4 linked regions of the Anolis sagrei genome follow. The protein of the gene in region 1 purifies or fractionates together with the protein of each later gene. This does not show direct contact. Links are inferred from orthologs where the notes say so. Each region holds a gene or a part of one and is shown in the gene's direction. Other genes may lie near its edges. The genes, in order: MAP3K7, USP18, IRAK1 and PELI3.

The links.
Region 2: the proteins of MAP3K7 (region 1) and USP18 purify together in Homo sapiens (affinity purification with western blotting; 4 studies listed by BioGRID, with this or other methods). This does not show direct contact. The link is inferred for Anolis sagrei from reciprocal best matches to the Homo sapiens genes MAP3K7 and USP18.
Region 3: the proteins of MAP3K7 (region 1) and IRAK1 purify together in Homo sapiens (affinity purification with western blotting; 5 studies listed by BioGRID). This does not show direct contact. The link is inferred for Anolis sagrei from reciprocal best matches to the Homo sapiens genes MAP3K7 and IRAK1.
Region 4: the proteins of MAP3K7 (region 1) and PELI3 purify together in Homo sapiens (affinity purification with western blotting; 3 studies listed by BioGRID and IntAct, with this or other methods). This does not show direct contact. The link is inferred for Anolis sagrei from reciprocal best matches to the Homo sapiens genes MAP3K7 and PELI3.

What each region holds. Positions count from the first base shown.
Region 1 is NC_090021.1:104,198,346-104,206,131, forward strand, and holds the start of MAP3K7 (mitogen-activated protein kinase kinase kinase 7), read left to right. Parts: upstream 1-4,500; 5' UTR 4,501-4,730; coding exon 4,731-4,820; intron 4,821-7,786. UniProt on the Homo sapiens protein: Serine/threonine kinase which acts as an essential component of the MAP kinase signal transduction pathway. Plays an important role in the cascades of cellular responses evoked by changes in the environment.
Region 2 is NC_090025.1:180,572,133-180,580,030, forward strand, and holds the start of USP18 (ubl carboxyl-terminal hydrolase 18), read left to right. Parts: upstream 1-4,674; 5' UTR 4,675-4,843; intron 4,844-7,898. UniProt on the Homo sapiens protein: Interferon-induced ISG15-specific protease that plays a crucial role for maintaining a proper balance of ISG15-conjugated proteins in cells. Regulates protein ISGylation by efficiently cleaving ISG15 conjugates linked via isopeptide bonds.
Region 3 is NC_090022.1:175,996,705-176,004,627, forward strand, and holds the start of IRAK1 (interleukin-1 receptor-associated kinase 1), read left to right. Parts: upstream 1-4,669; 5' UTR 4,670-4,903; coding exon 4,904-5,012; intron 5,013-7,923.
Region 4 is NC_090032.1:9,730,234-9,738,405, reverse strand, and holds the start of PELI3 (E3 ubiquitin-protein ligase pellino homolog 3), read left to right. Parts: upstream 1-4,950; 5' UTR 4,951-5,281; intron 5,282-8,172. Other genes in the region: actin-related protein 2-B-like, read right to left, coding at 1,391-1,438. UniProt on the Homo sapiens protein: E3 ubiquitin ligase catalyzing the covalent attachment of ubiquitin moieties onto substrate proteins. Involved in the TLR and IL-1 signaling pathways via interaction with the complex containing IRAK kinases and TRAF6.

The sequences.
Region 1 (7,786 bases):
GCAGCTGACAGATGGTAATTTTGTCAGTGCCAATTGTGTTTAAGTGCAGGCCAAGGTCTTTAGGCACTGCATCCAGTGAGCCCATCACCACTGGGACCACATTGACTGGTTTGTGCCAGAGTCTTTGCAGTTCAGTATTTAAATGCTCATATCATGTCAGCTTTTCCAGTTGTTTCTCTGTCACCTGGGATTGCAACATTGGCGATCCATACTTGGTTTTTTAACATGATCGTGAGGTCAGGAGTATTGTGCTCCAAAACTCTGGCAGTCTGAATTCGGAAGTCCCAGAGTAGTTTGACATGTTCATTTTCTGTAACCTTTTCAGGCTTGTGATCCCACCAGTCCTTTTTCAAAGGGAGATGGTATTTGTGGCACAAGTTCCAATGAATAATCTGAGCAACGATGTTATGCCTCTGCTTGTAGTCTGTCTGTGTGATCTTCTTGCAGGAGCTTATTATTATTATTATTATTATTATTATTATTCATTTGTTAAATGTCTCTCCTCACAGCTTGAGGCCAGATACAACATGGTTAAAACACACTGATAAAATATATTAAAATTAAATTAGATTATTCTTTCCATCATTTTCCTATCTATGATTCTATGATATCAAAAATGGTAAAAGGCTTGTATCCAGCATTTTGGTCATGGAAACAGGACAAAGAACTAAAACTATTCTTTCTACAAGCTTGCTCCCCAGGCAAGTGCTGAACCCGGGGGGGGGGGGGATCTTTCTTTTTTTAATAATCTTTATTGGGGGAGTTGTGTGTGTGTGGTGGGGGGGTCTTGGGTGCATCTATACCCTGGAATTAGAATCACAGAATAATAGAGTTGGAAGAGACTGCATGGGCCATGCAGGAAAAGCACAATCAAAGCACTGCTGGCAGATGGCCATCCAGCCTCAGTTTAAAAGCCTCCAAGGAAGGAACTTCCACTACACTCGGATGCAGACAATTCCACTGCTGAACAGCTCTTACAGTCAGGAAATTCTTCCTAACATTCAGGTGGAATCCCCTTTCCTGTCATTTGAATCAATTGCCTCAAGTCCTAATCTAAAGGGCAGAAGAAAACAAGCCTGATCCCTCTTCCTTCTGACACCCTTTCACATGTTTATACATGGCTATCATGTCTCCTCTCAGCCTTCTCTTCTGCAGGTTAAACATGCCCAGCTCTTTCAGACGCTACTCATAGGGCATGGTCTCCAGACCTTTGATCATTTTAGTCACCCTCCTCTGGACACTGTCCAATTTGTCAATATTTTTGAACTCTGGTGCCCTTTTATCATGCTCTTTATCACATATGTCCACTGCTCGTTAGAGAGCAGTTTTATACCACTTTTAACCGCTATGGCTTGATTCTATGGAATCCTGGGATCTATAGTTGGGTGAGGCAGCAGCACTCTTGAGCAGAGAAAGCTGAAGACCTGGTAAAACTAAAACTCTTATGATTGCATAAGACTTGGGTCCCTTCCACACAACCCTCTATCCCAGAATATCAAGGCAGAAAATCTCACATTATCTGAGTGTGGACTCAGATAATCTAGTTCAAAGCAAACATTGTGGGATTTTCTGCCTTGATATTCTGGGATAGAGAGCAGTGTGGGATAGAGGGCAGTGTTTGTTTTAAGTACTTTTTTGTTATTATATGTTTATATTGATGTTTTACTTATTGTTTTGATTTGGTTTGCCTATCTGTTTGATGTGTTGTCAAAGGCTTTCATGGTCAGAATCACTGGGTTGCTGTGAGTTTTCCGGGATGTATAGCCATATTCCAGAATGCTTCTGGTCCAGGAGCATGGCCATGCAGCCCAGAAAACTCATAGCAACCCTCTGTCAGTTGGTTTTTGTATGGCATTGAATGTTTGCCACTTTTTGTTTGGGAAATGCCCTGAGTCCTCCTGGGGAGATAGGGCGGGTTATAAAGAAAGGTGATGATGATGATTAGTATTATTATTATTATTATTATTATTATTATTATTATTATTTGAAACACAACAAGATGCGTCCACAGCAAACAAGATCACTCTGGCTGTTATATTGGATGACACGTTGGACACTTCCCACTGTGTGATGCATCAGCGAATAATGCATGCAGATCCCAGTAGGATGGACCTTTGCAGCTGGCAGATGGTAATATTGTCAGCGCTGATTGTGTTTAAGTGCAGGCCAAGGTCTTTAGGCACTGCATCCAGTGTGCCAATCACCACTGGGATCACCTTTACTGGTTTGTGCCAGTCTCTGCAGTTCGATCTTTAAATCCTCATATTGTGTCAGCTTTTCCAGTTGTTTCTCTTCAATCCTTCTGTTGCCTGGTATTGGAATATCAACTATCCATACTCTGTTTTTTAACACGACTGTGAGGTCAATATTATTATTATTATTATTATTAAAGAGAAAACCTGGGATCAGATCCTGGGATATAGGGCCTGGAAGGACCCCTAGTTTAAAGCAGGTATTGTGGGTTATTCTGCCTTGATATTCTGGGTTATATGGCTATCTGGAAGGGCTCTAACCCATGTTATCAATTCAAACTGCATTAGTTGTACAGGATTTACCCCTCTGGCACCGTTGGCTTCCATTCAGTGCTAGCGGAGAGTAATAACAATATAATAATAAAACTTTATTTGTATTCTGCCCTCTCTCCCCGAGGGGACTCAGGGTGGATTCCAACAAAAAAAAATGGCAAATATGTAATGCTAAAACACATTCTTAAAGAGAATACAAAAACAAACTATTCAAATACCAAAAGTAAACAAAAGCTACGACAAAATTGAACAAAAATTAAATGTTAACATAACCCACCAGTTACATCTTGTATAAAAATGTGCATAAATTATATAAACACACATAATGATTATTGAAACAGTTATTAAAATATTTAACGATGAGGACAGTAGCACTCCCTCGGCGCATCTACACAGTGGGGAATTGATACTTTGACAACACTTTTAACTGCCAGGGCTTTTCTGTTGGTCATGAGGGTTCTGTGTGGGAAGTTTGGCCCAATTCTCTCGGTGGGGTTCAGAATGCTCTCCGATTGCAGTTGTTGTTTCTTGTTCAATCGTTTCCAAATCTTCGTGACCTCATGGACCAGCCCACACCAGAGCTCCCTGTTGGCCGTCACCACCCCCAGCTCCTTCAGAGTCAAGCCAGTCACTTCAAGGATGCCATCCATCCATCTTGCCCTTGGTCAGCCCCTCTTCCTTTTTCCTTCCATTTTCCCCAGCATCATTGTCTTCTCTAAGCCAGGAGTCCTCAAACTAAGGCCCAGGGGCCAGATACAGCCCCCGAAGGTCATTTACGCGGCCCTCACTCAGGGTCAACCTAAGTCTGAAATGACTTAAAAGCACACAACAACAACAACAACAACAACAACCTTATTTCATCAGCCAAAAGCAGGCCCACACCTCCCATTGAAATACTAATAAGTTTATATTTGTTTAAATTGTTATTCGTTTTAATTATTGTATTGTTTTAAAGGGTTTTTGCACTACAAATAAGATATGTGCAGTGTGCATAGGAATTAATTCATATTCAAATTTTTATCAAATTATAATCCGGCCCTCCAACAGTTTGAGGGACTATGACCTGGCTCTCTGTTTAAAAAGTTTGAGGACCCCAGCTCTAAGCTTTCCTGTCTTCTCATGATGTGGCCAAAGTACTTCATCTTTGCTTCTACTATCCTTCCCTCCAATGAGCAGTCGGGCTTTATTTCCTGAAGTATGGACTGGTTTGACCTTCTCGCGGTCCAAGGCACTCTCAGAACTTTCCTCCAGCATCACAGTTCAAAAGCATCTATCTTCCTTCGCTCAGCCTTCCCTATGCTCCAGCTCTCACATCCGTAGGTTACTACAGGGAATACCATTGCTTTAACTATGCGGAACTTCGTTGCCAGTGTGATGTCTCTACTCTTCACTATTTTATCGAGATTGGTCATTGCTCTCCTCCCACGAAGTGTCTCCTGATTTCCTGGCCACAGTCTGCATCTGCAGTAATCTTTGCACCTAGAAATACAAAGCCTGTCACGGCCTCCACATTTTCTCCCTCTATTTCCCAGTTATCAATCATTCTTGTTGCCATAGTCTTGGTTTTTTTGATGTTTAACTGCAACCCAGCTTTTGCACTTTCTTCCTTCACCTTGGTTAGAAGGCTCCTCAGCTCCTCCTCGCTTTCAGCCATCAAAGTGGTATCATCTGCATATCTAAGGTTGTTAAGGTTTCTTCCAGCAATTTTCACCCCAGCCTTGCATTTATCTCTGATTATAGGTGAACTATAAATCCCAGCAACCAAAACTCCCGAATGCCAAGGTCTATTGCTATGGGATCCTGGGGGCTGTAGTCCTATAGGGCCCCCCGTTTCCCTTGCCGAAGAGTGCTGCTGCCTCCCCAGACGAGAGCTCCCACCCGGGATCCCACCGCCTTGAGGCCTAGCAGCGGGGTGGTGCCCGGCTGAGCCTCCCTCCTTCGTGGGAGGGCGGGGGGAGGGGGCGGGGCGGCTCCGGGAAGCGGGCGGGCAGGAGGAAGAGGAGGGCCGCTGGCTTCCTTGCCTCCTCCGCCGCCAGCCATGGCTCCGCCTGGGCCTCGCAGGCAGTAGCGGGAAGAGGCCGGGGAGCAGGGCACAGGCCCGGCGGAGGAGCGGCCCTCGCCCTCCCCGCTTCACGCCGAGCCCGCGGGGCCATGGGCCTCCGGTGAAGCCGGCCCGGCGGAGGAGCCTCTTCGGCGGGCGGAGGGATGTCTTCGGCCGGCCCCGCGGACATGATTGACACCCAGCCCGTGCTCAACTTCGAGGAGATCGACTACAAAGCCATCGAGGTGGAAGAGGTGAGGTCCTGGGCCGCGCCGGGCGTTGGGGCGCCCAGCCTTGGGGGACTTCAACTCCCAGGAGCCCCGGCCAGCCAGGACAGCACTGGGGCATTCTGGGAGACGAAGTCCAAAACACTCGAGGGACTCAAGCCTAAGGCCCCACCGGCACTGCATTGTATGGCCTTCGCTCAGGCACGGGCAAACTTCGGCCCTCCAGGTGGTCCGGACTTCAGCTCCCAGCAGCCCCAAACATCCAGGACAGCACTGAGGGATTCTGGGAGATGAAGTCCCAAACCCCCAAGGTTGGTGACCACTGGTGTTCGCCAGAGGTGAGGACTAGGCCCCTTCCACACAACTGAAGAAAATCCCACATTATCTGCTTTGGTTATAAGACAGTCTGGACTCAGGGCCCTTCCAGACAGCTATATAACCCAGAATATCAAGGCAGGAAATCCCACAATATCTGCTTTGAACTGGGTTATCTTGAGTCCACACTGCCATATATTCCAGTTCAAAGCAGATATTGTGGGATTTCCTGCCTTGATATTTTGGGGGCCCTACCACACAGCCCTATATCCCAGAATATCAAGGCAGAAAATCCCACAGTATTTCCTTTGAACTGGGTTATCTGAGTCCACACTCAGATAATGTGGGATTTCCTGCCTTGATATTCTGGGATATAGGCCTGTGTGGAAGGGCTCTCGGATAACTCGAGTCAAAGCAGATGTTGTGGGATTTTCTGCAATTATATTGTGAAGCCCCTTCCTCACAGCTACATAAAATCCCACATCTGCTTTAAACTGGGATATATTAACAGTGTGGACTCAGATAACCCAGTTCACATATTGTGAGATTTTCTGCCTTGAGATTCTGGTCCCCTTCTGCAATAGCTAAATAAAATCCCACATTATCTGCTTTGAACTGAAATATAAAACAATGTGGACTCCAGGCCTTCCACACAGCCCTCTATCCCAGAATATCATGGCAGAAAATCCCACAATATCTGCTTTGAGCTGGGTTGTGTGAGTCCACACTGCCATACATACCAGTTGAAAGCAGATATTGTGGGATTTTCTGCCTTAATATTCTGGGTTATATGGCTTTGTGGAAGGGCCCATAGACATTGCCACCGTTCATATTGATTTCAAAGGATGTATATACTACACCACGGAACAAATGCAGCTTCCCATCACTTTAACTACCTTGACTCAAATAAGTAAATAAGCAAAACTTTATTTCTCTCCCACCCCATCTCCCCATGGGGACTCTGGTTTCCATCAAAAGTGGTAAACATTCAGTGTCATAATAAAAACAGAAAAACAACAAATCAGTCGACACAATAAATAAAACAACATCAATATAAACTAATAATAACTAAACAATAAGACGACTGCAATAAATTAACAGCACATTCAACAATCATACAAATCACAAGTGAAACAATAATAGCAAATTAAAAACAGTATCAATAAAAACATGATTAAAAGCCATGGCAATATTAAATTCTTATTTCATAAGGCCAGATTTTTGACCATTCACATCTCCATGAGCCTGGGTTATGGGTTTTTTAAGGTTTTTATTTGCTTCCTAAAGGAGGACAGCAATTGGGCCATTCTGATCTCCTTTGGGAGAGAGTACTAAAGGCTATTTTATTTAGTACTGGGAGTTGTGGTTTGGTGAGGAGCCATCACTCTTTGGCAGAGAAGGCCTAGTAAAACCAAATCTCCCATCATTCCAGAGCACTGAGTCATGACAGCTAAAGTGATGTCAAACTGCATTTCCTCTACTTTATTTAGATGCTCCCCAAAACTATTCCTTACGTCAGGCATAAGCAAACTTTGGCTCTCCAGATATTTTGGACTTCCAACTCCCATAATTCCTAACAGCTACTGGAGGGCCAGAGTTTACCCATGCCTGCTTTAAGTCCTTGCTTGGGACAAAATCCATGAAGAAATATGTAGAGGACTGCACTGCACATTGCTATCAGGACGCCAGTGTTATTCAGGAAATGGTCTTTTTCTCCTGCATCCCACCCCTAAGTACAACTTCTTGGTACTTCTCACTCCTTAGTGAAGATGAGAGGACCACTGGACATAAGAAATAAATAAATACATTAGAATTCAAATCACATCCCTACTCAAATATGGACAGATTTTTGAGAGAAACCAGGACTCAAAAGTTATTTAGAGTCAGATCTGGCAAACTCAGGCTCCCTCTACACTGCCATATAAAATCCAGATTACCTGCTTGGAACTGGATTATATGGCAGTGTAGACTCATATAATTCAGTTCAAAGCAGATAATCTGGATTATCTGCTTTGATGATCTGGATTATATGGCAGTGTAGAAGGTATGAAGTTTTTAGGGATATTATTGGGTCACTTCTTATCAGTTAGTGAGTAGAGAAACAAGAGGTAAAATATAACAAAACAATAAAACCAATACACTTTTTCAAGTGCCCGTCCAGAAACCTGGTCTTAATTTTAAATCTCAGGGTAACCTGTGGAGATTTGGCTCACATAAAGGACCTGAGTATTCCCTAAAGGTATGCATCAAACAAATAAAAGCCATGAAAGACTTCAACCACACTTTTTAAGAGACTGCTGTTTTTCTACAGCAGGTTTAGTTATTTTTCAAGCGATGTGTTCAAAGCAAACATGATGTAGTGTTTTGAATTTTGGATTATGACTTTGAAGGCCAGGGTCTGAAAATCCTCACTTGACCACTAAACCCACAAAATGACCTAGAGCACTATTTCAGCCTCAGACCAAGGCTGTGCCCTTCCACACAGCCCTATATCCCAGAATATCAAGGCAGGAAATCCTACAATATCTGCTTTGATCTGGGTTATCTGGGTGAACACTCAGATAATGTGGGATTTCCTGCCTTGATATTCTGGGATATAGGGCTGCGTGGAAGGGCCCCCAGTCAATGGCAGAAAAACAAATCTTGGCAAGGAAACCATGTGATAGGGTCACCATTGG
Region 2 (7,898 bases), on another chromosome or scaffold:
GGGTTAACAAAGAGTGGGCTTCTTATTTAAATGTTTAGAAGGAAAGTGCACCCTGTGCAGTTCTGGTACAACAAATTAGACCCTGGGTTGAAAATTCTTTAGTATTACACACAGTGGCATTTGCTATACAGGTACTTTGCATATTATTCCAGTTAGAAATATAATTTGAAGTAGTTTCTCTGTAGGTAACACAGGACATCTTTCTCATAATCAACAGTCCAAAGTCCAAACCATCTCTCTGTTCTGAAAGTCTAATAGAGTCTCTGTTTCTAGTCTGAAAGTCCAATGGAGTCTCTAAGTGTACAGTTCCTACTGAAGTCTCTAAGCATACCTGTTCCTACTGTCTCCTTAAACGCCTACTTTTCTACTGAAGTCTAAACCGAACTGTGCTAAAATGGAGTCTGAGTCCTGAACAAGCCCAGATCTGATCACATGGTCTGCAGCCCCTCCCACAACAAAAGAATTACGGAAAACTGCAAACCAACACACACACACACAATACAGTAAGCAATTATTTACATAACAAATAACTAGTGGAGGCTTGAGAAGGTTGCTATTTCCAATACAGGATCTATGGATATGGAGGGCCTACTGCACTTTTCTTTTGCACCAGGTACCATTCGATAGAACAGGCACGGGCAAACTTGGGCCCTCCAGGTGTTTTGGACTTCAGCTCCCATCATTCCTAACAGCCTATCGGCTGCTAGGAATTGTGGGAATTGAAGTCCAAAACACCTGGAGGGCCCAAGTTTGCCCGTGCCTGTAATAGACGCTTCTAGGAGAAACATTTGAACCAGAAGGCTCCGTTTTAGTGGATTTTGAGGGCACAGTAAGCTTGGTTCATAGTCAGAAATGGCAAGCTAACAGGACTGATTGCTGAAAATAAACAGAAGGAGCCTTAATGTGCCTTAAAACTATTTTGACGGTTTTATATCAAGGAGAAGAGATGCCTACTGTAGTGGCAACCACATATTAGTGGTTGGTGTCAATAAGGCACTGAATCTGCATTGGCCTTCACGTCCAAACTTTAAAGGAGATACTCAGGGTGCTGAATACTATCCTTAAATAACACTATGTAACAAAAAATGAAAACAAACGTTTCCTGGTTTGAAACGGTTATTCCCATTTAATTGTGCAGTAGTTACTTTGAAAGTAGTTATACTCCCTATATGCTATCTTAAACCAATTTAGCATATAGCATATAGGTGGTATATAACACCACATAAGATAGGGAAATTCAAAAAAAATACGAATACAAAATGCTGGAAATGCAGAAAACATGAAGGGACATATTACCACCTATGGTGGACATGCCCAAAAGCAATAACATATTGGAAAAGTATACAAAAATCATTACAAAAAAATTTAAAGATAAATATACCCCTAAAACCAGAAACATTCCTACTAGGGATCCATGATATAAAAATGGAGAAGAATAAGGACAAAATTCTATTTCTCTTAACAACTGCGGCCAGAATAATATATGCAAAGCATTGGAAGGAAAAAGAACCCCCGGGAGAAGAAGAATGGCTAACAAAGATCCTGGATATAAGAAATATGGACAAATTAACTTACATACTTTCAAAAAAAGGGGGCACTCCATCAGTAGAAACTGACTGGAAACAAGTAACAACATACTTGATAGAAGAAAAAAAATATGAAAATAATCATATGAAAAAGTGGCAAGCAAAACAAAAGGGGGAGAGCAGAAGAGAGAAGAGAGAGGAGTAGTTTGGAAGAAAGAAGGAGCGAAGGAAGAGGAAGAACCTCCAGAAGATACCGGGAAGTCAATGTCAGATATACACCTATCACACACCCTCTTTTCCCTCACAGTGACCTCCTTAATTTCTTTTTCTACACCTGGCACACCCTTTATTCTGAACAACTACCAAAAGCATCTCCCCCACTCTACCCCCCTCTATACTATCATTCCCCCTCTATCCCCATCTTTTGTCCCCACCTTCTTATACTTACCCGATTAGATACCGTATACTTTTTTTTTAACTAAAACTAATAAAGATTATTTTAAACTTCAAAAAAAAAAAAAGAAAGTAGTTATACTCCAGAAACTTCATTTTTGTGGCTGCCAAACTATGTTGCATTGCTTGAGACACAGATATTAATTGAAAAACGATAGCAAAATGTGCTGCAGGATAAGTTTTGTAAACTTTTTCCATGCTTTCAGGATACAAACAATTAGGAAATTACATTTATAACCTAGGAGCAAAAAAAGTGTTATGTAGTGTAATTTAAATGTCTTAGGTTGCATCTATACTGTAGAATTAATGCAGTTTGATTCTACTTGAACTGCCATGCCTGTATGGAATGCTATGAAATCATGGAAGTTGTAGTTTTGCAAGATCCGGTGCTTCACCAAAACACAAATCCCAGGATTCCAGAGCTTTTAGCTTGGCAGTTAAAGTGATGCTAAACTGCATTAATTCTACAGCACGGATGCATCCCAGTTCACAGTAAACGTGTTTACCTTATCCAACTGTCATCTGGCCCTGACACACATGAAGGATGACCTTCTTCTGGTTTTCCATGGTGAGAGCCTTCAGCAATCTAGGGTTGGGGCATGAGAAAAGCACACATTTCCTTCTCTTAAGTTTCATTTCTTGGCTGTGACACATCAGGAAAGAAGGGGAGACGTAAACCTAAGCCAAAAGGATGTACGTGGGGAGGGACATGAAATCTAATGCACATAGCGAAGGGAATTTCATATGTGAGGCTCCACAGATGATGTGGCAAAATTGCAGGAAGAGGGTTTTGGAGAAACAAAAAAATGCAGCAGGGAGAACTATATGCTGCCTTTATAAACCTTAGTGAGGCATTTGATACTGTAAATAGAGAGACGTTATGGAGGAAATTAACTGATATCAATATGGAGCCCAGACTGCTGGCACTGATCAAAGCACTTTACATAAATACTTGAAAGTGTGACTTGGGATGCAAGGAGCCATGACAAATAGTGTAGAACAGGGTTTCTCAACTGGGGGTTTGTGAGGAAGTGTCAGGGGTCATCAAAGACCATCAGAAAACACTGGATGTTCTGTTCATCATGGGGGTTCTGTGTGGAAAGTTTGGCCCAACTCTATCATTTGTGGGGTTCAGAATGCTCTTTGATTGTAGGTGAACTATACATCCCAGAAACTACAACTCCCAAATGTCAAGCCCTATTTTCCCTAAACTCCACCAGTGTTCACATTTGGGCATATTGAGTATTTGTGCCAAGTTTGGTCCAAATCCATCATTGTTTGAATCCACAGTGCTCTCTGGATGTAGGTGAACTACAACTCCCAAACTCAAGCTCAATGCCCACCAAACTATTCCAGTATTCTCTCTTGTTCATGGGAGTTCTGTGTGCCAAGTTTGGTTCAATTCCATCGTTGGTGGGGTTCAGAATGTGCTTTGATTGAAGGTGAACTATAAATCCTAGCAACTATAACTCTCAAATGACAAAATCAATCCCACCAGTATTCAAATATGGCCGTATTGGGTATTTGTGCCAAATTTGGTCCAGTGAATGAAAATACATCCTGCATGCCAGGTATTTACATGACAATTCATAACAATAGCAATATTACAGTTCTGAAGTAACAAAAAAAATAATGTTATGGTTGGGGGTCAACACAACACGAGGAACTATATTAAGGGGTCATGACATTAGGGAGGTTGAGAACCACTGTCCTAGAGGAAATGAAGTCTGAACTCTCCTTAGAAGTCCAGATGGCTAAAGTGAAACTGTTGTGCTTGGCCATATACTAGGAAAGTAATAGTCACTAGAAAAGAAAGTAATGCTTGGAAAGGTAGAGGGCAGTAGGAAAATAGTGCTCTTTGATTGTAGGTGAACTATAAATTCCAGAAACTACAACTCCCAAATGTCAAAGTCTATTTTCGCCAAACTCTATAAGTGTTCACATTTGGGCATATTGAGTATTTGTGCCAAATTTGGTCCAGATCCATTGTTGTTTGAGTCCACAATGCTCTTTGGATGTAGGTGAACTATAATTCCAAAACTCAAGCTCAATGCCTACCAAACCCTTCTAGTATTTTCTGTTGGTCACAGGAGTTCAGTGTGCCAAGTTTGGTTCAATTCCATCGTTGGTGGAGTTCAGAATGCTCTTTGATTGTAGGTGAACTATAAATCCCAGCAACTACAACTCCCAAATGTCAAAGTCTATTTTCCCCAAACTCCATCAGTGTTCACATTTGGGCATATTGAGTATTCATGCCATGGAAGTTCTGTGTGCCAAGTTTGGTCCAATTCCGTCATTGATGGAGTTCAGAATGCTCTTTGATTGTAGGTGAACTATAAATCCCAGCAACTACAACTCCCAAATGTCAAAGTCTATTTTCTCCAAACTCCATCAGTGTTCACATTTGGGCATATTGAGTATTCATAACAATAGTAACATTACAGTTCTGAAGTAGCAACAAAAATAATGTTATGGTTGGGGGTTACCACAACATGAGGAACTGTATTAAGGGGTCGCAGCATTAGGAAGACTGAGAAACACTGGTGTAGAGGCACCTAAGAGAGCAGAGTCCTTGGGCTGCATAGGTAGGAAAGGAAGGTGGAGGAGAACGAGGAGGCGGAGGCGCTTTGGAAACGAAGCTGGTTAAGTTTCACTTTCTAAAGCGAGCCGCCCTTCAGCGGGAAATCAAAACTCATGGCCGTCTGCTCGGTGCTGCCCTCTAGAAGTGACGCACAGCTGTCAAAAAGGGAGCCGACCGCGCCAGGATCGGAAGTTTCCCTGTCGCTAGTGTGGACGCACAGTCGAGCGGAGTGGAGACCAAGCAGCCGGGAAAGGTTGAGCCCTCCTCCTCCTCCTCCATCACCGTAAGTTACCTTCCAAGCCATCCTTCTCCAACCTGGCCTTTTGGGGTTGATCTACAGTACTGTAGAGTTATTGCACTCAGGCAAGACTTAGTTCCATGCTCTGGGATCCTCGGAATTGAAGTTTGGTGGGGCACCAGGACTCTTTAATTGTAGGTGAACTATAAATCCCAGCAAGTATGTCAAAGTCTATTTTCTCCAAACTCCATCAGCAGGGAAGGCTAAAGACCAGGTAAGACTACAACTCCCAGGATTCCATAACATTGAGCCATGGACCTCACAATGCCTGCCATAGATGCGGACGAAACATCAGGAGAGAATGCTTCTGGAACATGGCCATACAGCCCAAACTTATTTACACACTTATTTACTTATTTAGGTGAGTCCTCATAGTCAAAGGATGATGGTCCTCCAAGTCGGTGGCTGTGGAGCCTTATTCTTGACCCACATTAGGTGATCCCTCATAGCCCAAGGATGATGGTCCTCCAAGTCGGTGGGTCTGTAGGTGGCTGTGGAGCCCTATTCTTGACCCACATGTTCTCCCGCAGTGAGAACATCGGTTTCCAGGTTGAAAGTGGTCCCGGTTAAGGTTGGCTTGACGCACCTTCCTCTTGGCACGTTTCTCCCTTTTGCCCTCCATTTGTGCCTCTTTGAATTCTGCAGCACTGCTGGTCACAGCTGACCTCCAGTTAGAGTACTCAAGGGCCAGGGCTTCCCAGTTCTCAGTGTCTATGCCAGAGTTGATTAGGGTTGGCTTGACACGCCTTCCTCTTGGCACGTTTCTCCCTTTTGCCCTCCATTTGTGCCTCTTTGAATTCTGCAGCACTGCTGGTCACAGCTGACCTCCAGTTAGAGTACTCAAGGGCCAGGGCTTCCCAGTTCTCAGTGTCTATGCCAGAGTTGATTAGGGTTGGCTTGACACGCCTTCCTCTTGGCACGTTTCTCCCTTTTGCCCTCCATTCGTGCCTCTTCGAATTCTGCAGCACTGCTGGTCACAGCTGACCTCCAGTTAGAGCACTCAAGGGCCAGGACTTCCCAGTTCTTGCTGTCTGTGCCACAGTTTTTAAGGCTGGCTTTCAGCCCATCTTTAAATCTCTTTTCCTGTCCACCAACATTACATTTTCCGTTCTTGAGTTGGGAATATAGTAACTGCTTTGAGAGATGGTGATTGGGCATTTGGACAACATGGCCACTCCAGCAGAGTTGATGGTGTAGGAGCATCGCTTCAATGCTGGTGGTCTTTGCTTCTTCCAGCACACTGATACTTGTCCTCCTGTCTTTCCAAGAGTTTTGCAGGATTTTCCGGAGGCAGTGTTGATAGAATCGTTCTAGGAGTTGAGTGTGACATCTGTAGACAGTTCACGTCTCACAGGCGTATAGCAGGGTTGGGAGGACAATAGCTTTGTAAACCAGCAGCTTAGTCTCCCTACGGATGTCCCAGTTCTCAAACACTCTGCTTCATTCGGAAAAATGCTGCACTCGCAGAGCTCTGGCGGTGTTTTATTTCAGTGTCAATGTTGGCTTTTGTGGAGAGGTGGCTGCCAAGGACCTCACAACCTCTAAGGATGCCTGCCATAGATGCAGGCGAAATGTCAGGAGAGAATGTTTCTGGAACATGGCCATACAGACCAGAAAACTCACAACAACTCAGTGATTCCAGCTATGAAAGCCTTCGAAAATACATTGAGCCATGGATAGTTGAAGTGCTCTCAAACTGCATTCATCCTGCAGTGTAGATGTACCCTTTGAATCCCTTTTTTTCTGGGTTGGGCATCATTGGATCCACATTGTGTTTATATTTTTTGCAACATTGGTCCTTCAAATGCATCCTCACTTCTAAATGCATTGCCTTTAAATTCCCGGAGAGATGATGCAACTGACTCCCATGTTATATATGTGGATATGGGTGTATCTGCAGTTTGACATCAGTTTAACTGCCATGCCACAGAATCCTGGGAGTTGTTGTTTTTCAAGGTTTTTAGTCTTCTCTGCCAAAGAAGTTAGATGCCTCACCAAAGTACAATTCCCAGGATTTGATAGCATTGAGGCATGGCAGTCAAAGTGGCATCAAACTGTGTTAATTCTACAGTGTAGATCAGGCATGGGCAAACTTGAGCCCTCTAGGTGTTTGGGACTCCAAATCCCACCATTCCTAACAGCCTCAGGCCCCTTCCTTTCCCCCCTCAGCTGCTTAAGCTGCCATGTTCCAGCAGCATTCTCTCCTGACGTTTTGCCTACATCTATGGCAGGCATCCTCAGAGGTTGTGAGGTCTGTTGGAAACTAGGAAAATGGGGTTTATATATCTGTGGATATAGTTTCCTACTTTCCAACATACCTCACAACCTTTGAGGATGCCTGCCAAAGATGCAGGCATAATGTCAGGAGAGAATGCTTCTGGAACATGGCCATACAGCTCAGAAAATTCACAACAACACAGTGATTCCGGCTATGAAAGCCTTTAACAACACTTAGTTTTAATCTTGGGAGCATGAGACCTTTGGTTTAATGGCTTTCTTTCCATTGCTTCAAATGTAATTTATCCAAGCATTTTATGTACAGTTTAAATGTCTATTTTCCAGGTAACTATATATGTTATATTTTGGCAAAATGTCAGATGCTTTCCTGGTACTTTGCAATTACTAAATGAATCCATAAAGTAATAGCCCAAACAAGCAAGTCAGCTGATTCCCTTATCAAAATGGTAACAAATGTAAACAAGGAAGAATAAAGGGAAACAATATAATAACAAACATTGCAATAAAATATTGCGATGTTGAAATCTGCTTGGAATATTGACCAGGAAATCCTCTTTGTATCTATGCCAATTGGTCTATAATATAATCAGTTATATAGTCTAGGAGAGGTGTGGGCAAACTTTCTAACTTGGGGGCCACATGGTAGGCTGCGGTGGGGTGGGCAGGCTATGAGGGAGGGGGTTCTCCCCAAGCCCCCTCCCTGCCCTTTCCTCTCCTTCCTCTTCTCTTTTGGAAGCAGAAAGTGAAGGAAAGACAGGAAACATTTGGATCCCAAAAGGGTTGGCCTTGGTCAGGATGAGAT
Region 3 (7,923 bases), on another chromosome or scaffold:
GAGTTCTGCAGAGCTCATCACTTTCCTCGATGTTATTTAACATCTACATGGAACCGCTGGAAGAGATCATCCAGAGTTTTGGAGTTTGGTGTCACCTGTACACAAATTATGCTCAACTCTATTATTCCTTTTCACTAGCTAATGGCAAGGAAGCCGTGCTGTGCCTGAACTAATGCCTGGAGCCAGTAATAGGCTGGATGAGGGTAAACAAATAAAAACTGAATCCAGATAAGACATAAGTACTACTGGTCTCACATAGTATGGATCAGGAACTGGATCCCAACTGGAGCTGGATGGGGTTACATTACCCCTGAAAGCTCAGGTTCGCAGTTTGAGGGTGGTTCTGGAGTCTAAACCTGGAAACCCAGGTGGCGGAGGTTACCAGGATTGACTTTGCACAACTTAAACTGGTGCGCCAACTGCTGCCGTTCCTGAAAAAAATTGACCTGTCAACTGTAGTACATGCCTTGGTTACATCCTGCCTGGACTACTGTAATGCACTCTATGTGGGGCTGCCTTTGAAAACGGTTTGGAAACTTCAATTTGTTCAAAGATCGACAGGTAGGTTGTTAGCGTGAGTGGATATAAGAGAACCAAGTATCCCACTCCTGAAACAGCTGCATTGGCTCCCATTTAGTTTCCGGGTCTGATTTAAAGTACTAATTTTGACCTTTAAAGCCTTTCACAGCATCAGTCCAGATTACCTGAGACAACGGGTTCCTTTGTAAACACTGAGGAGATTGTTAAGATCAAGTGGGGAAATTCTGGTGTCCTCAAGCATCCGTGACAGTCTCCATTTGACGATCGCTAAAGAGGGGTCCTTCTTGGGAGTGGCTCCCTCTCTTTGGAATGCCCTCCCAGGGGAGATTAGATCTGCACTCTCTTTTTTGGCATTCAGGATGAGCCAAAAAACCTCCTTTTCAAAGGAAGTCTTTGGAGGAAACTAAGTTAGGAAGGCTCTTCGACTTTGTTACGTATTATCAGTGTGGTATTCAATGTATTTTATTGGGGTTTAATTAGTGTTTCACAGCATTCACTCATATTTATGGTTTTGTTTAAACAATTATATTGTATGTTTATACTGAGTGTAAGCTGCCTTGAGGCAGGAAAGATGGGGCATATATTTCATAAATAAATAACTAAATAAGTTGATTGCCAGGTACTTCCGTGATTCTTTAAAAGGGCCCAGCTTTGTAGAGTACAACTGTGTACATACATACAAACCGTTTACAGAACACCAGCCCACCACATGCATGCACACTAATTCACAGAATTGCAAAAATGAGTGTCATAATAACTATTTTTTAAAAATGTTTGCAGGTTCTATAAGAATTTGGCATTCGAAATCCAAACAAAAAGACCTCAGATTTGCTATATTACAGTTGTTTTCACAACTTGCTTTCAGGACTCTTAGGTTATACTATGTGACTGATGAAATAAGTGTTGGAATTTAGGAATTAAATTGGTGAAATAACTGTGTTTTATGACATTTTTTGTTTGTTTTTCAAATTCAACACCCCAAAATGCGTTAAAATCAACTACAATATTGAAATATTGCAGGCTTGTGATGGCACTGGCAACAGTGTTGTGACTTTGCCTTTTATCTTGGTCAACAGCACAAAAATCTGTCATACAGACTATCCTGGATTTCTCCTATTATTTGAGTTGCTTACAGGATATGTCCTAATCAGGCTCCAAGAGGACTGCCATCACAGAAGAATGCCATGTAGAAAGGGCTTACATTCTTCAGAGAGAATAGCAAGTCAGGCATGAGTGTATCCGCTTCCAAACAAGGAAAGACCTGTCCTTCTGATGGCAATACCTCATAATGGGATAAAAAGGTAAGCTCCATGGACATATATATGTTCTTCAGTGTTATTTCAACCAACCAGTGTCCCCATTTCAGTCTCTGATAGCTATCATTCACACTCTTCCCCCACTGCAGGCCCATAGCCAGAATTTTGATTCGGGGGGGGGGGGGGGCTTAAGTCAGGGGTCCTCAAACTAAGGCCCGAGGGCCAGATACAGCCCTCCAAGGTCATTTACCCGGCCCTCGCTCAGGGTCAACCTATGTCTGAAACGACTTGAAAGCACACAACAGCAATGTAATCAAATATGGTTTACCTATCTCTTCAGACAAAAAGCAGGCACACACTTCCCATTAAAATACTATTAAGTTTATACTGGTGGGGTTGGGGGGGGGGGGTTGTGTCATTTAGGAGTTGTAGTTGCTGGGATTTATAGTTCACCTACAATCAAAAAGCATTCTGAACTTCACCAATGATGAAATTGAACCTAACTTGGCACACAGAACTCCCATGACCAACAGAAAATACTGGAAGGGTGTGGTGGGCATTGACCTTGAGTTTGGGAGAGCACTGTGGACTCAAACAATGATGGATCTGGACCAAACTTGGCAGGAGTACTCCATATGCCCAAGTAGGAACACAGATGAAGTTTGGGGAAAATAGACTACATTTGGGAGTTGTAGTTACTGGGATTTATAGTTCACCTACAATCAAAGATCATTCTGAACCCCACGAACGAGAGAATTGGGGCAGACTTCCCACACATAACCCCTATGGCCAAAAGAAAATACTTAAGGCCATCCAGTCCGACTCCCTTCCATCAGTATTTGAAAATGTAATCAAATACAGTTTATCCACAAGCATAAAGAAATTACATATATTAGAAACCAACACTCATTACTTTATTTTCCAGATCACCAGACTGGGCCACAGCAATGCAGCAAGGGACGGCTAATATAAAATATACAAACATTGAAACAGAATTCAATATAAACAGTATTAAAAATTCAGTTTAAAAACAATTCAACATAATCAATGCATATTAAAATTAAAGCCACAGCATCTCCTGACTTGATCTTAAACGTACGTATAAGATATGTATGCAGTAAACAACGGCGCTCCATGCGGTCATGCTGGCCACAAGACCTTGGAGGTGTCTACGGACAACACCGGCTCTTCGGCTTAGAAATTGAGATGAGCACCACACCCCAGAGACAGACATGACTGGACTTAATGTCAGGGGACAACCTTTACCTTTAAACATTAATGTGGTGCTTAGACTTGGGTCCCATGGCCAAGCTACCTCATTACAAACTTCATCACACTACAGCAGCTATCCCTTTAAATCAGTGTTTCTCAACCTGGGGGTCGGGACCCCTGAGGGAGTCATGAAGGGGTGTCAGAGGGGTCGCCAAAGACCATCAGAAAACACAGTATTTTTTGATGGTCATGGGGATTCCATGTGAGAAGTTTGAGCCAATTCTATTGTTGGTGGAGTTCAGAATGTTCTTTGATTATAATGAACTATAAATCCCAGCAACTACAATTCCCAAAAGTCAAGGTCTATTTTCCCCAGGCTCCACCAGTGTTCACATTTGCGCATACTGAGTATTTATGCCAAGTTTGGTCCAGATCCACCATTGCATGAGTCCACAGTGCTCTCTGGATATAGGTGAACTACAACTCCCAAACTCAAGGTCAATACCCACCAAACCCTTCCAGGGTTTTCCGTTGGTCATGGGAGTTCTGTGTGCCAAGTTAGGTTCAAATCCATCACTGGTGGAGTTCAGAATGCTCTTTGATTATAAGGTAGGTAAAGGTAAAGGTAGTCCCCTGACATTAAGTCCAGTCATGTCTGACTCTGGGGTGTGGTGCTCATCTCTAAGCCGAAGAGCCAGCGTTGTCCATAGACACCTCCAAGGTCATGTGGCCGGCATGACTGCATGGAGCGCTGTTACCTTCCCGCCGGAGCGGTACCTATTGCTCTACTCACATTTGCATGTTTTCAAACTGCTAGGTTGGCAGAAGCTAGGGCTGATAGCGGAAGCACACACCGCTCCCCGGAATCGAACCTGCGACCTTTCGATCAACAAGCTCAGCAGCTCAGTGCTTTAACCCACTGCGCCACCGGGGGCTCCTCTTTGATTATAAGTGAACTATAAATCCCAGCAACTACAACTCCCAAGTTACAAAATCAATCCTCCCCCAACCCCACTAGCATTTACATGTGGGTGCATTGGGTATTTGTGCCCAATTTGGTCCAGTGAATGAAAATACATCTTGCATATCTAATATTTACATTATGATCGATAACAGTAGTAAAATGACTGTTATGAAGTAGCAACAAAAACAATGTTATGGTTGGGGGTCATCATTACACGAGGGACTGTATTAAGGCGTCATGGGATTAGGAAGGTGGAGAACCACTCCTTTAAATCCTGTGGCTGCCTCCCGATGAACTCTGGGGCTTGTAGTTTAGTGAGGCTCAGGACCTCTCTTAAAGTCTTCTCCCTAAACTACAAGCCCCAGAATCCTTCAGGAAGGAGGCAGCCACAGGCTTTAAAGTAGATACAAGCTCTCAACGTTCAAACACTCTTGGTCCCAAGCATTTGGAACACTCAAAATGTCCATAGAAGCAGCAGTCAGCGAAACTGAAGGCGGGTGAGGCAAAGCAATAGGCCAATAGAGGCTTTGCCGCATTCAAGATGGCTGCCTCACGTAGGATTAAGGAAGTTTCCCGTCATGCTGTGCCGCACTCAAGATGGCGGCCTGACTGACCTCCCAACGCTGCTCCGTCAACCAGGCCGAAGAAGCGAGGAGACGTCGGCGCAGGCGCAGAGCTGCCAAGGGGGCGCGGCTCGTGCTTTAAAGAGGAAGTGGCCCTTTTTCGGGGCGGCCTCCTCCTCCTCCTCCCTCAGTCTCTGTTTCTCTCTCTCTCTTTCTTTTCCTCGTTTTCTTCTCCTTTTCCCGCCCCCTCGTCCGGCCTCTCCTATGGCCTGGCCTGGGCGGAGGACGAGGAGAAGGAGAAGGAGGAGGGTGGCCGCCTCAGCAGCAGCAGCAGCAGCCTTATCCGCCAGGGGAAGGGCCCGCGGGGGATGGCCGGTTCCCACTCGCCCAGGTTCCTGTACGAGTTGCCGGCCACTGTCATGTGCCAGTTCTACGAGATTATGGACGCCCTCGGCCGGGCGGAGTGGCAGCGCTTCGGTGAGTGGCTCTCCTGGCTTCCCCTCAGGGAGTGTGGCCGCCCCTCCTCTCAGGCAGGATCTGATCCCGGATTATCTGGCAGTGGAGACTCATATAATCCAGTTTAAATAGAGTAAATCTGGGATCAGAACCTGGGATAGAGGGCAGGGCAGTATTATGAATCCAGGACCGGATTATCTGCTTTGAATCTGAATCACCTGCCTTGAACTAGTTTATATGGCATTGTAGATTTAGGACCCTTCCTGACAGCCATATAATTTAGAATATCAAGGCAGATAACCCACCATATCTGCTTTGAACTGTGTTATCTGAGTCCACACTGCCATATAATCCGGTTCAATGTGGATTTTATGCAGTTGTGTGGAAGGAGCCTTAGATAATCCAGTTCAAAGCGGATAATGTGGATAATCTGCATTGATAATCTGGATTATATGGCAGTGTAGAGGGGGCCTGAGTTTACATGGGCATATAATCGAGTTCAAAGCAGATAATCTGGATTTTGTATGACAGTGTAAAAAGGGACTGAGTCTACACTCCCATATAATCAAGTACAAAGCAGATAATCTGAATTTCTTATGGCAGTGTAAAAAAGGGCTGAGTCTACACTGTTATATAATCCAGATAATCTGGATTTTATATGGCAGTGTAGAAGGTCTGAGTCTACACTCCCATATAATCAAGTTCAAAGCATATAATATGGATTGTATAGCAGTGTAGAAGGGGCCTGAGTACACCCTGCCATATAATCCAGTTCAAAGCAGATAATCTGGATTTTGTATGACAATGTAGAAAGGGGCTGGGTCTACACTGTCATATAATCCAAATAATCTGGATTTTATATGGCAGTGTAGAAGGGGTCTGAGTCTACACTCCCATATAATCAAGTTCAAAGCAGATAATCTGGATTATATGGCAGTGTAGAGGGGGCCTGAGTTTACATGGGCATATAATTGAGTTCAAAGCAGATAATCTGGATTTCTTATGGTAGTGTAGAAAGGGACTGAGTCTACACTGCCATATAATCCAGATAATCTGGATTTTATATGGCAGTGTAGAAGGGGTCTGAGTCTACACTCTCATATAATCAAGTTCAAAGCAGATAATCTAGATTATATAGCAGTGTAGAAGGGCCTGAGTACACACTGCCATGTAATCCAGTTCCAAGTAGATAATCTGGATTTTGTATGATAGTGTAGAAAGGGGCTGAGTCTACACTCCCATATAATCGAGTTCAAAGCAGATAATCTGGATTATATAGCAGTGTAGAAGGGCCTGAGTACACACTGCCATGTAATCCAGTTCCAAGTAGATAATCTGGATTTTGTATGATAGTGTAGAAAGGGGCTGAGTCTACACTCCCATATGATCAAGTTCAAAGCAGATAATCTGGATTATATAGCAGTGTAGAAGGGGCCTGAATCTACACGCCCATATAATCCAGTTCAAAGCAGATAATCTGGATTTTGTATGACAGTGTAGAAAGGGGCTGAGTCTACACTGTCATATAATCCAAATAAACTGGATTTTATATGGTAGTGTAGAAGGTCTGAGTCTACATTCCCATATGATCAAGTTCAAAGCAGATAATCTGGATTATATAGCAGTGTAGAAGGGGCCTTAGTACACACCACCATATAATCCAGTTCAAAGCAGGTAATCTGGATTATATAGCAGTGTAGAAGGGCCTGAGTACACACTGCCATATAATCCAGTTCAAAGCAGATAATCTGGATTTTATATGGCAGTATAGAAGGGACGAGAAGCTCCTTCCACACAGCTGAATGAAATCCCACTCTTTCTGCTTTGAAGTGGAATATATGGCAGTGTGGACTCAGATATTCCACTTCAATTAGATATTGTGATATTTTCTGACTTGATATTCTGGGTTATAGGACTGTGTGGAAGGGCCCTGAGTCTACTCTACCATATAATCCAGTTCAAATCGGATAATCTGGATCATTTGGCAGTAAGGAAGGGTCCCAAGTCTATACTGCCATATAATCCATTTCAAAACAGATAATCTGAATTTTATATGGCAGCATAGAAGGAATTGTAGTCTTTTCACAAGAACAGACAGTGGAGTTTAGTAGCCTAATTTTGTATATATGTGTATACACACACACACACACACACATATATATATACCAAAGAAGGCTGCTAAAACACACAGTCAGTTCTTGTGAAAAGCCTAGGGCCCCTTCTACACTGCCATATAAAATCCAGATTATCTGCTTTGAACTGGAATATATGGCAGTGTAGACTCATATAATTCAGTTCAAAGCAGATAATGTGGATTATCTGCTTTGATAAACAAAATTATATGACAGTGTATAAGTGACCTAAGATTCATAACACACATTTTGGTACCCAAATGTTAGCCCTGTTTCTGGGTATATTTGTCCTGCCGATTCCTTATCTGCTCTCCTTTAGAAAACCATATCTTTGTGCTGGTCAGTGACCGTAATAAAGTTTTGTATTATAGTGTATTGATAGCCGTATCAAAGAAACAACAGCTGATGTGGTCTGTCCAATGCAGTTTTCTGAACCAGGGCCCCAAATAACCAAAGGAACAGGTCTAAAAATCAAGATACTAGGACATTTTTGGTTGTGGTGTTATTATCATGATATGTATTTATTTATTATATCTCGCATTTTCTCCCTCAAAGGAGACTCAAAGTGGCTAAGATTCATACAAAGTGAATATTAAAACCAAACGCGTTTAAAAGTAGAATTAAATGTAGGAGTATTAATCCATTAAAAACATATTAGGTTAATACATTTAATAAAGGGGAAATTCGTTTTTGCAGCTTCTTCCTCTGTGTGTCTACATATTTCCATATGTTTTTCTAGGCTAAGTATTTATTCCTTTTGAATTTTGCTGTAATCCTTTCTTGAAACACTTGGTATAGCT
Region 4 (8,172 bases), on another chromosome or scaffold:
TGGAAGGGACCCTAAAGGCCATCAAAGATGATAATACACCTTGATTAGCATTGAATGGCCTTGCAGCTTCAAAGCATGGCTGCTTCCTGCCTGGAAGAATCCTTTGTTACCTAGCCCTGATTGTTTTCTGACATGAAACAATCAGGGCACAGTATTATTATTTGAGAACACAGAAATGCTGGACCACAGGTAAGAAGCAGCCAGGCTTTGAAGCTGCAAGGCCATTCAATGCTAATCAAGGGGACCAATTGCAACATTCTCACTTGCCTCCAACATAATAATAATAATAATAATAATAATAATAATAATAGGCTCCCTTCCACGTCAAGTATTCAATCTTCACCATATATTATATTATTATTATTATTATTATTATTATTATTATTATTATTATTATGGGCTTGGATGGTGTCCTCCAGAATTGCAGAAAGGGGGTGGTTCTGGATGGCCTTTGGGGTCCCTTCCAAATTCTACATCCATTGCCCACCCACTACAAAAATCAAAACAATCAGGAAAGAATCTGCAAAGTGGTATGGAAGTGAGTCACCTTCTGCAGTGCAGACGCACCTTGCCAAGATATCCCTCCCGGGGGGATCCCACAGAAAAAAAAAGTCTGGAGGGGGAATGAGCATGAATGGTATTGCAATCCAAGGCAACTCTCAGTTAACCGGAAACTCTCAAGCAACCGGCAATTTGGGAGTTAATATTATAAAGTGAAACAAATTGGGAAGAAAGAAAGAAAGAGAGAGAGAAAGAGAGAGAGAGATAGATATATGTCCGGTTGCTTGAGAGTTTCCGGTTAACTGAGAGTTGCCTTGGATTGCACTACCATTCTTGCTCATTCCCCCTCCAGACGTTTGTTCTGTGGGATCCTGGGAGGGATACCGTTGCAAGGTGCGTTTTACTTTATAACATCATCTCCCAATGCCGGTTGCTTGAGAGTTTCCGGTTAACCGGAAACTCTCAAGCAACCGGCACTTGGGAGTTAATATTATAAAGTGAAACAAATTGGGAAGAAAGAAAGAAAGAAAGAAAGAAATATATATATATATATATATATATAGTCCGGTTGCTTGAGAGTTTCCGGTTAACCGGAAACTCTCAAGCAACCAGCATTGGGAGGTGATATCATAAAGTGAAACAAATTGGGACGAAAGAAAGAAATATATATATATATATATATATATATTAGTCCGGTTGCTTGAGAGTTTTCGGTTAACCGGAAACTCTCAAGCAACCGGCATTTAGGAGGTGATATCATAAAGTGAAACAAATTGGGAAAGAAAGAAAGAGAGATAGAGAAGAATATATATATATATATATATATATATATATATATTCCGGTTGCTTGAGAGTTTCCGGTTAAGCGGGAGTGGTGTCCTGGCCTCACCCCGGTGCCGTTGTCGCAGACCACCACGCGGCGCCCCTGGCTGTCCATGGCTCCCTCCTCCTCCTCCTCCACCTCCTCCGCCTCTTCCTCTCCGCCTGCACTTGGCCAAGGAGAGCGAGCCGGCAGCGCCCCCAAGCCCGGCTGTGATGTAACATCCTGGGCTGGCGGAGCCAAGTTGACGCCCTTCGCCTCCTCCTCCCCTTCCTCCGGGACCCGCCTCCCTCGGCCTGACTCAAAGCAGGCAAAGGGGGAAACACCCTGGAGGGTCTGCACTGGCTCTTTGGGCAAAGGCCTCCGAGGACTACAACTCCCAGGAGCCCACAGCCTTGAGCCAAGTGGGATTTATAGTTTGTTTGCACACCAAGAGCTCTCCCTCCCTCTCTTTCTCTGGGAACTACAAATCCCAACATGCCATACTATTGAGTTTGGGCAACCCCAAGTGACAGAACTACAAATCCCAAGCCTTGATCCTTTCATGCTGGGTCCATTTCATGCTGCATCCACACTGGCAAATAATGCACTAGATGATCAGTGTAGAGTAGATCCACAATAATAAGTGTAATATAATAATAATAATAGAATAATAATAATCTATATAAATAATAATAAATTATTATCATTCCTTTGAAATAATAATTATATAATGACCTTGGAGGTGTCTACGGACAACGCTGGCTCTTTGGCTTAGAAATGGAGATGAGCACCACACCCCAGAGTCAGACATGACTGGACTTAAGGTCAGGGGACTACCTTTACCTTTACCTATTAAAATAATAGTAATAATTAATAATTATATATTAAAATAATATATATTAAAATAATAAAAGTGTAATAATAATAGAACAATAATAATCTATATATTCTCAGTGTCTATGCCAGAGTTTTTAAGGTTGGCTTTGAGCCCATCTTTCAATCTCTTTTCCTGTCCTCCAACATTCCGTTTTCCGTTCTTGAGTTCGGAGTAGAGCAACTGCTTTGGGAGACGGTGGTCGGGCATCCGGACAACGTGGCTGGTCCAGTGGAGTTGATGGCGGAGGACCATCGCTTCAAGGCTGGTGGTCTTTGCTTCTTCCAGCATGCTGACATTTATCCGCTTGTCTTTCTAAGAGATTAGCAGGATTTTCCGGTGGTAACACTGATGGAATCATTCCAGGAGTTGCATGTGACGTCTGTAGACAGTCCACGTTTCACAGGCATTTAGCAGGGTTGGGAGGACAATGGCTTTATAAACAAGCACCTTGGTCTCCCTACGGATGTCCCGGTCCTCAAACACTCTCTGCTTCATTCGGAAAAAAAGCTGCACTCACAGAGCTCAGGCGGTGTTGAATTTCAGTGTCGATGTTGACTTTTGTGGAGAGGTGGCTGCCAAGGGAGTGGAAATGGTCCACATTTTCTAGTGTTACACCATTAAGCTGTATTTCTAGCATTGGAGAGGGGTTGTGTGACTGCATTTCTGTGTACGAACCCACACAATCTCTTCGATCATCTGGAGAGGCCCTGCTCACTCTCCCACCTGATTGGTGAAGACGAGGGACACGGCCTTCTCGGTGGTGGCCCCTCGACTCTGGAACTCACTTCCCAGGGACATTAGACATGCCACAACGTTGGCAGTCTTTAGGAGGAGCCTGAAAACATGGTTGTTCCAGTGTGCCTTCCCAGAATAAGGGGAACTCTCAGCAATATGCCCTCATAATGCATATTATGCGCTCTCTCGTTTCTCTTTGAAAAATGCTATCCCATTTATATTTTACCTTGTTCACGTCAGCATATTTTCAATTTTGATCTATTACATTTGGCCCTTGCCATTTTTAAAACTGTTTATATGACATTATTGATTCTTGTTTTTGTTTATGTGATTTATATTATTTGCATTTTATTGACTGTTATGTTAATGCTGTGTTTATTGATGTTTTGTTTGATGTAGAATCATTAGAATCAAAGAGTTGGAAGAGACCTCATGGGCCATCCAGTCCAACCCCATTCTGCCAAGAAGCAGGAATATTGCATTCAAATCACCCCTGACAGATGGCCATCCAACCTCACTACCTCTGAGGATGCTTGCCATAGATGCAGGCAAAACGTCAGGAGAAATGCCTCTACAACATGGCCCTATAGCCTGAAAAAACCCACAAGAAGCTAGTGATTTCAGCCATGAAAGCCTTCAACAATACATCATCCAACTTCTGTTTAAAAGCTTCCAAAGAAGGAGCCTCCACCACACTCCGGGGCAGAGAGTTCCACTGCTGAACGGCTCTCACAGTCAGGAAGTTCTTCCTCATGTTCAGGTGGAATCTCCTCTCTTGTAGTTTGAAGCCATTGTTCCACGTCCAAGTCTCCAAGGAAGCAGAAAACAAGCTTGCTCCCTCCTCCCTGTGGCTTCCTCTCACATATTTATACATGGCTATCATATCTCCTCTCAGCCTTCTCTTCCTCAGGCTAAACATGCCCAGCTCCTTAAGCCGCTCCTCATAGGGCTTGTTCTCCAGACCCTTGATCATTTGAGTCGCCTTCCTCTGGACACATTCCAGCTTGTCAATATCTCTCTTGAATTGTGGTGCCCAGATGTTGAAGAGAAGAGGGGAGAGAATTGCACCTTGGGGGACCCCACATAGGAGGGGGGATCTATCGGAGACTTGATCCATGTACTCCACGCATTGACTCCGGTTCCGGAGAAATGAGTTGAACCAATTGAGGGCCTGACCACGAACTCCGGACATGGCAAGACGGTGAATCATTAGATCGTAGTCGACGGTGTCAAACGCTGCGGTAAGGTCGAGACGTACCAGTAGCGCGGATCAGGCACATCAAATCACCTCTCAACAAAAGATTTCCCCCAAGCCATTAAATGCTAATCAAGGTGGTCAGTTGAAACATTCACACCTAGCTCCAGCAGACAAGAGTCTTTTGTCCCACCCTGGTCATTCCACAGATATATAAACCCATTTTCCTACTTCCAACAGACCTCACTACCTCTGAGGATGCTTGCCATAGATGCAGGCGAAACGTCAGGAGGAAATGCCTCTAGACTATGGCCATATACCTACAACAACCCATTATTGTTATGTATTGTTGAAGGCTTTCATGGCTGGAATCACTAGGTTCTTGTGGGTTTTTTCGGGCTATAGGGCCATGTTCTAGAGGCATTTCTCCTGACGTTTCGCCTGCATCTATGGCAAGCACCTCACTACCTCTGAGGATGCTTGCCATAGATGCAGGCGAAACGTCAGGAGAGAATGCCTCTAGACCATGGCCATATAGCCCGAAAAAACCTACAACAACCCATTATTATTATTATTATTATTATTATTATTATTATTACTATTATTGGCCGGTGACTGCTGGAAGAGCACTTTGGTTTTCTCGATGTTCAATGACAGGCTGAATATTCATTCAATAGCATGACGGTTGGGTACCACTTTTCTCCCTGCTTTTTGTGCCAAAGGGATGCTGACCCACCCACCCACCCATTTATCCTCCTTAAGACTTAAGACTTTGGACCCCTTGCTTTATTATTATTGTTTTGGCTCGACTCTCGATCTGTTGCACTTCACCCCCACCTCCTGCCCTTGGACCCTATGATTTCATCCTATGGAGAAGGCCGAAAAGTGATGCTCGGAGCATCCAGGCAAGGAGGAGGAAGAGGAGGAGCGGCCGGGCAGGATCCCACACCTTCCTCCCTGTGTTGTGTGCTTGTGTGTGTGTGTGTGTGTTGCAGACTCTGGAGCAGCAGCAGCAGCAGCATCCGCATCTGTGCCTCCTCCATCTCCTCCTCCTCTGAGCATCCTTCGCCTTCCTCCGGCAATGCAGGGCTCTCCATCCTGCGCAGGCAGCGGCTGTTGAGCAAAGGGACTCTCCGCAAAGGCAGCAAGGCTTGGCCAGCAGCACAGAGGGGTGAGCCGGACCCCAGACCCAAGGTGGGAGGGGTATGGTGGGAGGGGGAGGCGGGCAGGGAGGAAGGGAGGGGGTCTATGGCATCATCGGCCCTCCTCTTCCACTCCCAGACTTGATGCATGCATTTACTCTCTCATTGTCGGGACCCTCGACCCATTTGGGTCTACCCACCCCCCATGCTTTGTGGGGCCCTATACCTGCTTAATGGGGAGGGGGCTTCATCCACCAAAGACACTTTGGCTGGGTTTCAGGAGAGAAAGGCCACCCTCTTAGTCCTTCCTTTGGTTTGGATGACTCTCCTGCACCCCTTTATTTACAAACACACTGGGGAAGGCGCCATCCGCTCCGTCCCCACATCTATAATCTCCCCAAATTATGCCTCGTTGATACGTCTCCATATCTACAATGTCCCAAGCAATGCCTTATTTACATTGCGGTGTCATCCATTCCATCCCAACTTCCCATACAGTTCCTCATATATGTTGGGGTACCCACCAATGCCATAGCAATGTCTTATAGACATTGGGGTACCTGAAAGTGCCATCTGTTCGGTCCCCACATCTCTAACTTCCCATATGGTTCCTCATATATGTTGGGGTACCCACCAATGCCATAGCAATGTCTTATAGACATTGGGGTACCTGAAAGTGCCATCTGTTCGGTCCCCACATCTCTAACGTCCCCATACAGTTCCTCATATATGTTGGGGTACCCTCCAATGCCATAGATTCTGTCCCCATAGCAATGTCTTATAGATATTGGGGTACCTTAAATGCCTTATTTACATTGAGGTGTCATCCGTTCCACCCCAACACCCATAACTTCCCATACAGTTCCTCATATATGTTGGGGTACCCTCCAATGCCATAGATTCTGTCCCCATAGCAATGTCTTATAGATATTGGGGTACCTTAAATGCCTTATTTACATTGAGGTGTCATCCGTTCCACCCCAACACCCATAACTTCCCATACAGTTCCTCATATATGTTGGGGTACCCTCCAATGCCATAGATTCTGTCCCCATAGCAATGTCTTATAGATATTGGGGTACCTTAAATGCCTTATTTACATTGAGGTGTCATCCGTTCCACCCCAACACCCATAACTTCCCATACAGTTCCTCATATATGTTGGGGTACCCTCCGATGTCATAGATTCTGTCCCCATAGCAAGGTCTTATAGACATTGGGGTACCTTAAAGTGCCATCTGTTTAGTCCCCACATCTCTAACTTCCCCATACAGTTCCTCATATATGTTGGGGTACCCATCAATGCCATAGCAATGTCTTATAGACATTGGGGTACCTTAAAGTGCCATCTGTTCGGTCCCCACATCTCTAACTTCCCATACGGTTCCTCATATATGTTGGGGTACCCTCCGATGTCATAGATTCTATCCCCATAGCAATGTCTTATAAACATTGGGGTACCTTAAATGCCTTATTTACATTGAGGTGTCATCCATTCCATCCCAACATCTATAACTTCCCATACAGTTCCTCATATATGTTGGGGTACCCACCAATGCCATAGATTCTGTGCCCATAGCAATGTCTTATAGACATTGGGGTACCTTAAAGTGCATCTGTTCAGTCCCCACATCTCTAACTTCCCATACAGTTCCTCATATATGTTGGGGTACCCTCCAATGCCATAGATTCTGTCCCCATAGCAATGTCTTATAGACATTGGGGTATCTTAAATGCCTTATTTACATTGAGGTGTCATCCGTTCCACCCCAACACCCATAACTTCCCATACAGTTCCTCATATATGTTGGGGTACCCTCCAATGCCATAGATTCCGTCCCCATAGCAATGTCTTATAGACATTGGGGTACCTGAAAGTGCCATCTGTTCAGTCCCCACATCTCTAACTTACCCATACAGTTCCTCATATATATTGGGGTACCCTCCAATGCCATAGATTCTGTCCCCATAGCAATGTCTTATAGATACTGGGGTACCTTAAAGTGCCATCTCTTCAGCCCCCACATCTCTAACTTCCCAATACAGTTCCTCATATATGTGTGGGGTGCCCTCCAGTGCCATATATTCCATCTCCATATTTACTATCTCCCAAGCAATGGGTTATATACATTGGGGTACCCTCTGCTGCCATCCGTTCCATCCCCACACCTATAACTTCCCATACAGTTTCTCATATATGCTGGGGTACTGTCCAATGCCATAGATTCCATCTCCATATTTACAATCTCCCAAGCAATGCCTTATATACATTGGGGTACCTTCCAATGCCAGAAATTCCATCCCCATAGCTACAATCTCTGAAGCAATGCCTTATATACATTGGGGTACCCTCCAGTGCCATCTATTATTATTATTATTATTATTATTATTATTATTATTATTATTGATTTGTTGTTGTTGTTATTTTATTATCCATTCAGGCCCCCCACCTATAATCTCCCAAGCAATGTGTCATATATGTTGGGGTACCCTCCAGTGCCACAGATTCCGTCCCCATATCTACAATCTCCCAAGCTATGCCTTATATACACCGGGGTACCCTCCAGTGCCATCTATTATTATTATTATTATTATTATTATTATTATTATTATTATTATTATCCATTCAGACTCCCCATCTATAATCTCCCAAGCAATGTGTCATATATGTTGGGGTACCCTCCAGTGTCATTTATTATCATCATCATCATATCCATTCAGACCCCACATCAATAATCTCCCAAGCAATGTCACATATATGTTGGGGTACCCTCCAGAGCCACAGATTCCGCCCCCATATCTATAATCTCCCAAGCAATGCCTTATATACATTGGGGTACCCTCCAGTGCCATAAATTCAATCCCCATATTTACAATCTCCCAACCAATGCCTTATATACTTTGGGGTACCCTCCAGTGC